Linked DNA regions of Danio rerio. The protein of the gene in region 3 interacts with the protein of the main gene of each other region in a pairwise test. Links are inferred from orthologs where the notes say so. Each region holds a gene or a part of one and is shown on either strand. Other genes may lie near its edges.

What was found.
Region 1: the proteins of bnip3la (region 3) and lmna interact in a two-hybrid assay, tested with the Homo sapiens proteins (2 studies listed by BioGRID and IntAct). The link is inferred for Danio rerio from reciprocal best matches to the Homo sapiens genes BNIP3L and LMNA.
Region 2: the proteins of bnip3la (region 3) and smco4 interact in binary tests that used the Homo sapiens proteins (3 or more experiments, as listed by UniProt). The two-hybrid records come from large-scale screens. The link is inferred for Danio rerio from reciprocal best matches to the Homo sapiens genes BNIP3L and SMCO4.

Annotation. Positions count from the first base shown.
Region 1 is NC_133191.1:33,787,044-33,791,320, reverse strand, and holds the start of lmna (lamin), read left to right. Parts: upstream 1-1,463; 5' UTR 1,464-1,538; exon of another isoform or gene 1,539-1,871; intron 1,872-4,277.
Region 2 is NC_133190.1:43,945,428-43,949,878, forward strand, and holds the start of smco4 (single-pass membrane and coiled-coil domain-containing protein 4), read right to left. Parts: upstream 2,822-4,451; 5' UTR 2,635-2,821; exon of another isoform or gene 2,624-2,634; intron 1-2,623.
Region 3 is NC_133183.1:6,737,614-6,741,267, forward strand, and holds part of bnip3la (BCL2 interacting protein 3 like a), read right to left. Parts: intron 2,743-3,654; coding exon 2,490-2,742; intron 2,307-2,489; coding exon 2,225-2,306; intron 2,140-2,224; coding exon 2,033-2,139; intron 1-2,032.

The DNA.
Region 1 (4,277 bases), on a different chromosome or scaffold from region 3:
CTGCATGCCATTTCAAGGCAGCTCTGAAAAAAGAGGTGAGTCTCTTCCACCATCTCTTCTTCACAGTCTGTAAGAACTGACAAAAAATATGTTAACCATATTGTTCTGTTTATGTAAAATGGGATGGGGGGGGGGGGGGGGGGGGTTGCTGGGCTTAGATGTATCTTTAAACTAATAATCCATGAGTTTTGGGGTGGCGAAGTGACGCAGCGGTTAGAGCTGTTGCTTCACAGCTAAAAGGTTGCTGGTTCGAGTGCCTGCTGGGTCAGTTGGCATTTCTGTGTGGAGTTTGCATGTTCTCCTATGTTCGCGTAGGTTTTCTCTGGGTTTTCCCCACAGGTTCAAAGACATGGGCTATAGATGAATCGGGTAAGCTTAATTGTCCGTAGTGTATGTGTGTGAATAAGTGTGTATGGATGTTTCCCAGGGATAGGTCTGCTGTGGCGACCACTGATTAATAAAGGGACTTAGGTGAAAAGTGAATGAATTAATGAATCCATGAGTTTTTTAAATAGACTGCCCATCTTAGCAAAACATTATTTGAAATATGTTTAATTATATCAATGTATTGGTAGTTAATGCTATCTAAATGTACAAAAAATATAGCCTACATGTTAATGGTTGTTAACAAAATGTGAAATATTATCTACTGCTCTTGCATTCAGCCCACAAATATTGCTGGTGCTGCACAACCAGAGGCTGCAGTTTCAGAATTACATTTCTAGGATCAAATATGGCCTTACCCCACCCCTATGCCTTAACCCAACCACCGCCTACTGGACGGATCAGGAAGAACAATTTCTAAAAATTCTAAGGGTGCTTGAATTGCTGTCCTAGAAATGCGTTTCAGTCTCTCTGGTTTACCAGGAACTATTTTGGCTGCTCTTCTGTGCCCAGCTATTTAGATTTAGAGTTAGCCGAAGCCTGCAGTCACTAGTAGCTACTGCTCTTTTGATTTGAGACACTCTTTAAAAAGTTGCTAAATGAAGCCAAATGAATGTTAAAAATAGCTAAATTTGTTGCTGGGTGCTTTTAGGGAAACAAGCTAGGGTATTATGACAAGTTGCTAAAAAGTTAGCAACCAGGGTTTTACAGGGTTTTGTCAATCAGACTTTCAGTTAAATAGTCTTGACCTAATGTTTCATGTAGCCAAATGTCTATGTGCTAAAAAAAATAAGAATAAGTTAGCAAATCTTACCTTTTGTTTGTTTTGATCAGAATCATGAGGATCTTTCACAGTCACTATAATGCTAAGAAAATAAGGCATATACATCAAGCTACTAAAATTTTCATTGCTATTCGTCAAGTTACTAAATGGGAGCCTGATAAAAATGTGTGATTTTTTTAATACTTCAGTCAAAATTCATTACCTGTGTATGTTTTTGTAGACCACGGTAAATTTCTGCGTTTCTATGTATCGGCCACTAGAGGACGCCGCACGATTCCATCATTCTGCTGCACTCACTGCTCTGCTAGTGTGCGGCGATGGTGGATCCATGACGCCTGCAAACAATTCCTGATTTTGGGCTTCGGCAACTGTGAGTCACTATTTCCCTGTCTGAATCTTTGGTCAAACATTTAATCTTCTGCGGTGGTTACTGTAGTCCGTAGCAACAGCATTTATGTCGTGTTTATAAATGGATAGATTTGTATGTTCATTCTCAATGCATGACTCAACAGTTTTAACAGCATAATTATTTCTCAAATATATCCTTGCTGATCCCAGGCAGTTCCCGTCTCTAGTCCTGAATTAGTCATTTTGGCATGCCTTAAATTATATACAATTTTGTAAAAAAAAAAAAAAAAAGAATAAAATTTGAAGGCTATACTCACAGTATTCTCAATCACATTAAGTATTCTATAAAAATTACATGCATGCCATGCTGCTGCTAATTATTAAATGTTGTTAGTTTTTTATAAAAAATATTCGTTTTTTTACCGCTACAATTACAGTTGAGGTTATAGTATTAAAAAGTAAAATGTAGCTTTTATTTGATATTTTTTTTAGTTTTCATTTTTTAAGTGTGGGCCTATTTGTTCTTTTGTATTTTTTTACTAATTTATTTTTAAGTTTTAGTAGTTTTAGTATTTAAAGTTCATTTAATACATATATTTTATTTAATAAAATATTTTATTGAAGTTTTTTTTATTTTCATTTTTATTAGTTGAAAGTTATTATATTTTATATATGAGCAATAGCAATTTTACACGAGTAGCAGTGTGATATGGCTGTATATCAGCACTGGTGGGAGCCGTGCGTAAACGTGTTTGCATGCTTTAGTGTTCCACTAGTGACAATAAACAGTCATATCGCACTGTTACTCGTGTGATAATGCGTTTATACAACAGTTTGACGGCATTATTGTGTTTAAAAAAGAAAATCAAACAGAGTCTAAAAATTCTTTTGAATGAGGAACTACTTTCTTTTACCATTCATTCACATCTGAAGCTGATGTCAAAACAGCAAAAACCATTGCTACTTCACCAACGTCACTTTAGAGCTAGTATTAGAATGATTCTCTAGAGTAATATCTAAAGTCAGGGGCCTGCAGGATTTTATTCAAAAGAACGCACATATCCAGCACCACCCTGCCCCATCATCCCTTATTCATATTTCAACCTGAAAAGCACTGGTGCTTGCTGTCAAACGCTATAGGCCTATTATTTAAGGGCATTTGTTACGAAACTGATAGGATCAAACTTATGTTTCCTGTTTATATATATATATATATATATATATATATATATATATATATATATATATATATATATATATATATATATATATATATATATATATATAATATATATATATATATATAAATATGTATATGATTTGCTTAAACACTCCCTCAACTGAACTTGCCGCGAGTGAGATTGAGAAAATGAAAGCACGTCCTTGTATCCTAATTTGAATACATTTTTTATTTGTTGGTTATCTACTAGATAAACAACAATAATAAATATTATCTGAGTGCTACAAAACCAGTTCACTATATGCTTCAGCGCCAAAACGCAAACTGATTTGTTAAATAAAATAATAATCTAGCCTAAATAAAATGAAAGTGAAATATTCACCGTTTCAGAGAAACCTATATTAAACTGTTTTCAGTATTATTTACAAAACCATCCATTGTGCCGGTCAATTTTAATTTAATTAGTTTAATCAAGCAGGTGATTTAAATAAGCAGGACAGGTATTTACAAGGCTATTCGCAGCAGCACTGAGGTGTTTCCAGATTGCCTCGGAAGAACAAACTCAGTTGGAAGGGTAAGAGAACTTAGAAACTCGTGAGAATGGGGATGTCTAAAGCCAAAAGATTTCTTTACCCATGTGCCATGCAAATAATATATATATATATATATATATATATATATATATATATATATATATATATATATATATATATATATATATATAGTATTTATATTCGTAGTTTATATTGTAATTACTTCTGTAAAATAAGTTCTTTTTAAATGTCTGGGTTAAAAAATAACATCTTTTATTATATATATCGGTTTTAGTAATTTTTGTACTTTAGCTACTTATTTTATTGCCGTTTTATTTACTATTATTTTATAATTTTTTTTGTACTTTGTATTTTTTTGTTTTAATCTGCCATGTTTACTGTAGTACATATAGCAGTGGCATTTTAGGGATGTTCATAGAGAAAGACAGAACGATTTGTATGTTCATTCCCAATGCATGACTCAACAGTTTTAACAGCATAGCATTTTACTCAAATAAATACAGTGATTTCAGGCTGTACTCATTTGTAGTCTTAAATTAATCACTGGGAATGATTTTAAGTGTTATATTAACAGTTAAATGCCATTACATTTGAAGTAATGTGAAAATGATTTAAACACTGTAATTCGGAGGTGTCACGAAATTCCTTTCTGGTTGGAACCTGTCATGTCTTGTAATTTGACACATACTGTATGTCCTAACATCTCCACCTTTCGACCACCAGTCTAGAGCACAAATCCACCTCATCTGCCTCAGCAAAATTTCCCAAATTCTCCCCAAAAAAATCTGCAGGTTGTTCCCCGAAATCACTGCACACAATGAACTTCTGATCGTGACTCCTGATTGTGACATAATCTGCTTTTAGTTGTCACAGATGTCAGAAATGCCACTCGGGTGGAGAGACATTTGCTCTAGGGAATCACATTGTTATGTGGGAATGCAGTGGTTGTGTGAGGTAATGCGACGAGAGAATGAGAAGAGAAAGTACAGAACTGATAGTGTTACTCGTCTAGCTGTCAGACGTCTCT
Region 2 (4,451 bases), on a different chromosome or scaffold from region 3:
ACTAGAAACAAGACAAAACAAATCTAAGAAAGAAAAGCATTTTTTGCAGTGTATACAGGGCTAAATGCTAAGAATAAGGAAAAGACTTGTCAAAAAAGTATTATAATTTAATACATTTAATAGTAATAATAACAATAATAATAATAATAAAATATAGGCCAGGTCAGTATTAAATGTTACTGTAAGAAAAGTAATTAAACCATTACGGTAATAGAGTTAAAAATGCAATCTTTAAACAAAAAGTTAAAATGCAAGACCTACAACACAACATTTCAGTAGATTTAAGACTTTTTAAGGCCCAAAATTTAGTTATTGAGATTTTAGACACTTTAAGACTTAAGACCCCGCGGACACCCCGAAATATAGTTCCCATTGATGTATATTTTAAGACTGAACAATATTTGGCTGAGATACAACTATTTGAAAATCTGGGGTATATGAGTAAAACTAAAAAAAAATGAGAGAATCGCATATAAATTAAGCTCTGAGCATTGCATATTACTAATCAAACGTGTAATTTTGTGATATTTATAGTAAAACATGTACAAAACATGTTGATGAATCATGATCAGTACTTTATACTCTTATGACTTTTGGCATAAAACTAAAATCAATAAGTTTGATCTAATCAATGTATTTGTGGCTGTTTCCAAAAATATAGCCCTGCAACATTAGATTAGTTTTGTGGTCCAAGGTCACATATTTGTAATGTGATAGACGGGTGGACTTAACCAATAAGCGAGGTAAGCAGCTGCTAAGGGCCCCTGGGAAATAGAGGGCCCCAATCAATGCTAAGAAGCCGAAATTAATCATATAGCTTGTTTATAAATATTCTATCATATGTTGTAAAATCTGTCTGTAACCATTCAGATTTTCCCGCAAATACTTCTATTCAAATTTGGGGCCCCCATGAATAATGGAACATTCCTTCTGTACTGCACATGCAAATATTAAAATCTAATCACAAATATGGCTAATAAACTGTACATCATTTGTTTTCAAACCTTTTTTACTGGTGAATTTATTGCATTTAATATTACATTACGAAGTTAAAAGTTCCACTCAAAATATATTTTAACATGAAAAAAAAAAATAAAATCTAAACTGTGTAGCCTTAAATTTAAGCTGAATTAAACTAACTTTGAGCTCATTGAACTTTGTTAAACTGACTTAAAACAGCTTGCGTAACTTTAAAAAATAAGTTAGAACATGATTAACTTAGCTTAAGTTACAATAAACTAAAACACATGTTGTCATGATTATATGTTATGATAGCTGTATTAAAGGTTATGATTGATTCACCTCTTGTTACAGTTATAAAATAGTTTGATGGCAATATGGAAATGTTCATGGGCCAATGATATCACCACATAGAAATGGTCTATACCCCTGCAACACTAGATTAGTTTTGTGGTCCAAGGTCAAATATTTGTAATGTGACAGAAAGGGGCGTACTCAACCTATAAGTGAGGTAAACTTGCTGCTTAGGGCCCCAGGAAATTAGAGGGTCCCGATTAATGCCAAGAAGTCTATATTAAACATATAGCTCTTATAAATATTCTATCATATGTGGTAAAATCTGTCTGTAACCATTCAGATGTTATTGCCATCACATCTTTTCAAATCTGGAGGCCCCCATGAATAATAGGGCTAATTAACTGTACATCGTTAGTGAACTTGATTTTTATTGGTAAATAACTTTTATTTATTTTAAATTTTACATTATAAAGGTTCCACTTAAAATGTATTTTAATATGAAAAAACGAGAAAAATATATATATATATATACGCTGTAAAAAACAACTGTTTGCCTTAAAATTTTAAGCTGATTCAAAATAACTTCATGAGTCCATTAAACTTATATTATGTTAAACTGACCTAAATTAGCTTGCATAACTTAAAAAATTAAGTTAGAACATGATTAACTTAGTTTAATAAGTTACAATGAACTTAAAACATATGTTGTCATGACTAATTGATCATATAATTGTTTACAGTGTAGAGAAAGAAGATGCTTTGAGTTTCAATGCTAGAGCCCCATACCTGAAATTGCCCTCTAATCACCAAGTAGGCCTCTGGTGACAGATTATTAATTAAATATCTTCCTAAATTACCTTAACTCACTCCATTAATAGAAATAAGCAAATTTACACGACATGCCAAATCCACTGAGCACAATGCAGCATAGCATGAACGTAAATAAGCGCTGACGGGTGTCACACTATGAATCAGCTCTACAGGTGGGTGTGACATCTCGTGTTGTGCTCAACTTCTTTTGAAGACCAAAACAAGTTACACTTCTCAGTATGTGAGCTGAACGAGTGTTAAAATTACCCCCTAGAAAGGCAGCAGGGTCCCGTTCAGACTCGCTTCATTGTGGAACATGCTAGAAATCTACCGCATGACAGCGTGAGCGCCGCACTTTCTTTTCTGCATTAAAGTTGCGTGACGGTGTTTACATTGAAAACGAGTTCCTACCGACAACAAATCATCGACCTGTTGCATGCAAATGACTTGAAAAGTATCCAGTTCCACTTCACAGTCTCTCTCACACACACATGGCTCGCCCTGTTGCTTGTGATAATGCACTAATGTGGTCTGCGTCTCGTTCACTTCCACGCACTTTTCGCTTACCGCTGCAGTGTCTGTGTTCCGCTACACCCGCGCGCACCGCCCGGAGGGGTTCCGTACTGTACGGTTTGAATGTTTTCCGCAGTCGTTGTCACGGTTCCCGGAGGTTTTCAGTGAGTGAGCGGGGGCTCGACCGAGATTACGTGGCAGTAATGGAGCGTCACGCGCACGAGGAGGCCGAGGAGGAGGCGCGCGCACGAGCGAGCGCGCTCTCCCTGTCTGCGGGGGCACGAGAGAGAGGAGGTGAAAACGAAATAATGAAAACATCTGTAGCGTCAGTGAATTCGCACAACCGACAGAGGAAGACACAGAGGCGTTCCATGCCTAATGTTAGGAATTAGAAACGTTTACTAACATACAACATCTACACGAACAGACTGTATTAGTACAATTTAGACATGAAGAAGTAAAGACTGTATCCAAAATCAACCCTGTAAGCTCAAATAGTGCATGTATTTAAGAGAGCAGGCATTTATAGTGGTGGCCGAAATCATAGTGGACATTAGGTGCACTCAATCAATCCCACAATGCACCGCAATAACAAGTCTACAATCCATGTACACTCTACAGCTAGAAAATCCCTATAATGCACTGTTATTACAGTTTGTGCCAAATGAATTTCTACATCTGACAACCAGATGGCATTTAAAGAGCAATTCTACCTTTGTACATTACAAAATCAAATATTATAAAATTAAAGTAACATAATTTTTGTATAGGCTGCATGACAGAAATGAAATGTCTTTGTTTTATTATTAATAGACCGCTCTCACTATAAAGGCTGAATCATACTTCTGTCAAGTGCACGCGTATTAGAGATGCGCGGATCAGCTAAAATGACACCCGAATCTGCAGCTTCATACTAACAATCTACTTGCCACCCTACCGCACTTAATAGTTTTATCTGATATATGTATCCGCACCTGACCCGCACCCCATCGTCACTTTAATAATTGAATCTTTTGTTTTAGGCAGGTCACCGTGGATATTAACAGCAGATTCAGTGAGCTAATCTGCGCATCTCTGATAGTAAAGTAATATGTTTATCTGAAACGTTTTTAAATCAACATTTATTTATAAAAACAAAAGTTTGTCTTTAGACAACATTAACTTCATTTTCAAATAGATACAGAAAGTAAAAATAAGACATTTCAGCTTTTACAGATACAGGAACAAGATAACAAAAAGGGTGCCACTTCAGCCTAAATGGCAGGTATGTTGTGTTTACTTGGCCTTTTTCTTCACACTGTGCCAAAACAGAACAGCATCTACTGTGCCTGGATTCGGGCAATTCTGCCTCACCACCAAAACATGGCCAGCTGCACTGAATGAGCGTTCACTCGCACCGCTTGTTGTAGGAATAAACAAGAATCTCCTTGCAAGGTGCTGCAGTCGTAGAAATAAGCGATCTCGTTTCTCCCAGAACGAAAGCAGATTTTCCTCTGATGACTCCTCTAACTGAAACTTTGAACAGTAGGCTACTCTTGCACTTCATCCATTATTTTAGGTGTCTCATCTTTTCATTCTGCAAAGCCCACTCTCTGCTTTATCGCTGGTCCACTGCCATGTCCTGCTCATCATCCACCTGCAACTCACCCGATATTAATCATAATGTATTTTTTATTACTCACCCTTCCCGACCCCTGGATTATTCGAAGCTGCCGTGGATATAGCCGCCATCCTCGCATCACTATCATGTATGCTCCGATGCTGCCTGTGCAGTCGCAAAGATTTGGCCATGGGTGATGCTGACGCTGCTCCGAGCTGGTATCGAACCGATGACCTTCCTTATGGGAGTCGGTTACTCTAACAAGAAGGTT
Region 3 (3,654 bases):
GTATTGTCTTGAAAAGTTCCAGATCTTGTCTAGTTGTGTGTGTAATATAATGTTGTTTTTTCCCCACATGGGGAGATTTGAGTTTTGTTTTTGTTTTATTTTTCATTAAACTCTTCATTCCCTGCATTTGGGTCCTCGCCTCCTCTTCACCACCCCCATATCGTGACAATAACTGGCCTAATTACCCTAACCTGCGTAGTTCACCTAATTAACCTAATTAAGCCTTTTAATGTCACTTTAAGCTGTATAGAAGTGTCTTGAAAAATATCTAGTCAAATATTATTTACTGTCATCATGACAAAGATAAAATAAATCAGTTATTAGAAATAAGTTTTTAAAACTATTATGCCTAGAAATGTGCTAAAACAATCTTCCCAGAACAGAAGAGAAATTGGGGGGAAAAATAAACAGGGGCGCTAATAATTCTGACTTCAACTGTATATGTTACAATTTTGAATTTAAGAGGTACAAAACTAAAATAAAGAAACAAATGATGTCTTTGATAACCAGAAAGGGATATTTGAACCTATCGGTTTACATTATATGGATGCCCTGTTTTTCTAGGCTTTATTGGTGATAATGGTCAAGAATGTTAGACCATTATTGCCTATTTAGCTTAAGTAGAGGGTGAGAGCCAGTAGGGGTGTCAAATTTATTATTTCTTCGGTCGGTTTTGTTTGATCGCTCCCTGTCATTTAAAAGAATATTACAATGGCGAACGCGGCAAGTATAAAAGCCTTGTGCATTTCGCAAGGTGCGTGCAGTCAGCGGAGTTGCGCGATGCGGCGCCAGGCGAAAGACTGATTTCACGCGGCCGCCATTTCTAAAAGCGAAATGGCGGCTGCGGTGGGAAGAAACCCGGAATTATCATTGGGAGTTACATAGTAACGTTGTGTACCTGGCTGTATATCTTATCAGCGAAGAGAAAGTGACACAAATTTATAATTTCACCGCCTTCCGAGTGACCCGAAAGTCCGTTCTGAATGAATGGTGAAAATAAAAAGAGATATCAGAGCTCATTTTCAGCTAAGTTAAGGGAAATGGCACTAGTTAGCTAACGTTTTCTTTCCCAAACACACGTTTTAGATGCCATTTTTCAAACTCGAGTTAATAAACTGATTCTTTCACTATATTAGACTTGTCAGGATACTGAATTAAAAGACAAAACATTAATTTCCCGCTAATATTTAAGGCACTGTTGATGGCTTTCTTTAAACAGCGCTGATTTGCCATTGTGTTCACGTGTTCAACAGAAATGATTGTGATTGGCCGAGAAGGTCATCAGTTCACCCACCACTGTTTACCGAGTACACAGACAAGCGATCGGCTTGATGACGACTGATCTTGACGGCTGCTTCGCGCTCCTGTCCGTGTATCTGTGTTCGCACGGGGTGAGAAGCAGTAAACTGAGTGCAAACCAAACACAGATACACGGAGACTGAAACGCTAAGCAGCCGTGACGATCAGTCGAGTCATCTGCGCTCAGCAGCGCTTTCATGTTAGCGGGAAATAGCCAGGTTTAAAACTTCAGTACCGGGACAACACTATACGCTTATTTCACACGGCCGCCATTTTAAAGAACCAAAGCGAGGCTGCGGTGGGAAGAAACCCAGAAGTATAGGACCAGCACTGTAAACATTGCAGTAACATGCTGTGTACTACAAACCTCCAGCTGTTGCCGAGATTTCAAAATGCAGAAATGGTGTAAACATCACTTTAATATTATTTAGTAAGTTTATTTTAAACAATTAAAAGCAACTTAGCATCAAACAACATCACAATCTCAGCGATACGCTTAAGTGTCCTCCTGGGCTTCAGTTCATGGCACCAGTTAAACACCGTGAGGACGCTTTCCTGCTTCAGCTTATGTAACCCGGTGAGCGATAAAACACTGCAGTCTTATACTTCCGGGTTTCTTCCCACCGCAGCCTCGCTTTGGTTCTTTAAAATGGCGGCCGTGTGAAATAAGCATATAAATCCAGCTTAAGGTGAAAAGGAACAAGGGTGTCTGTGATATACAAGGTTTTCTTACTTCGGGGGAACATTCTCTGGTCGACTGGACCAGTCTGCAACCCAGCTCTCTCCTTTATTCATGAGGATATCGTCTTCTTTGTCCTTCTCCATACTGTCATCCTCTGACTGAAATAGATGAGAAATTCAGCCTCATGATCAGAGTTTTAGATGATTCAGTAGTGATTGCAGATTACTGTGGATTCAGTCTGACCTGACAGTCTCTCTCGCTGGGCATCTCCACATCAAACATGATCTGACCCTCGTCCTGGTCAGGACTGTGTGGCCGTGGAGGACTGAAAACACACAGAAGAGAGGTGCACCGATCAAACAAAAAGATCTCTGTTCCAGACTCGCATGCAAACTGCACTGCAATGATTTCATAGTGCCGAGTGTGTAAACGAAGTGTTGGGAGAAAAATAAAAAGCGTCTACTGAACCATGCAGTGTAAATGCATCTAAAGTGTCCTGGTATCGTACCTGTTGCAGGACGAGCTGCTGGGACTGGACTCGTGTTGAGCGTCCAGCAGGATTTTCTCCATGTCTCCATTATGGATGGAGGAGGAGGAAGGCACATGCTCTAGTCCTCCTGTCAGGACCTCCTCTTCCTCCTGCACGGCCTCCAGGGCCTGTGAAGTCTGGGGCTCGCCTTGGTTCCCGTTCCCCAGCAGTGAGGGCAGGCTGGGGCTCTGATGCTGAGTGTTTCCATTCATCTCCAGCTCCACCCAGGACCCTGATCAACAAAAACAGTCATTAGCATCAGCTGCTGCTTAACAGATTAATGCATCTGGGCCCCAAATAACCCTAACCCAGGGGTGGCCAACCCTGTTCCTAGAGAGCCGCTACCCATATCAAACACACCTGCCTGTAATTATCACGTGGTGTTCAGGTCCTAATTAATTGGTTCAGGTGTGTTTGACATGGGTAGCAACTGAAATCAGTAGGAAGGTGGCTCTCCAGAAACAGGGTTGGCCACCCCTGCCCTAACCCTAAGAGCTAATGCACAGACTTAATAAGCTAATACACATCTTTTCTTTCTTCTTTCATTCTTTCAATGCTAACCTCTGCCTGACCCAGATGTGTCTATTGGAGTGAAGCTGAGCAGGCATTTCAATTCATCCTCTAGGCAGAGGATTGTGGAATTGAGATCAAGACAGAGTAGGAGAGTGTGTGCACATTTTAAGCAAAGAAGAGACGAAACAACATACATTTCATTCCTAGAAGAATCAGAGGCTAACATGCTCTGTTGTCCCGGGGCAAACATAAGACACGCATGTGTTCTGTCTGACCCTCACTGTTGCTAGGCAACACAGAAAGATCCAGTATAATAACATGATGGAAAGTTGCTAGGGAATTGTTATGCGGTTGCTAGGGAGTTCTGGTTAAAAGTCCATTCACTAATCTCAACAAATGCTTTGAACAGAGCGTTAAGTAGATATATATAATATACTTTAATAATTAACATTTGCGATATTACCAAGGGCTTTTTAAAATACATTCATTGATTTATTTTCCTTCGATGTAGTCTCTTATTTATTAGGGGTCGCCACAGAGGAATGGACCGCCAACTATTCCGGCATATTTTTTACACAGCGGATGCCCTACCAGCTGCAAACCAGTTTTGGGAAACAAACACACAAACACA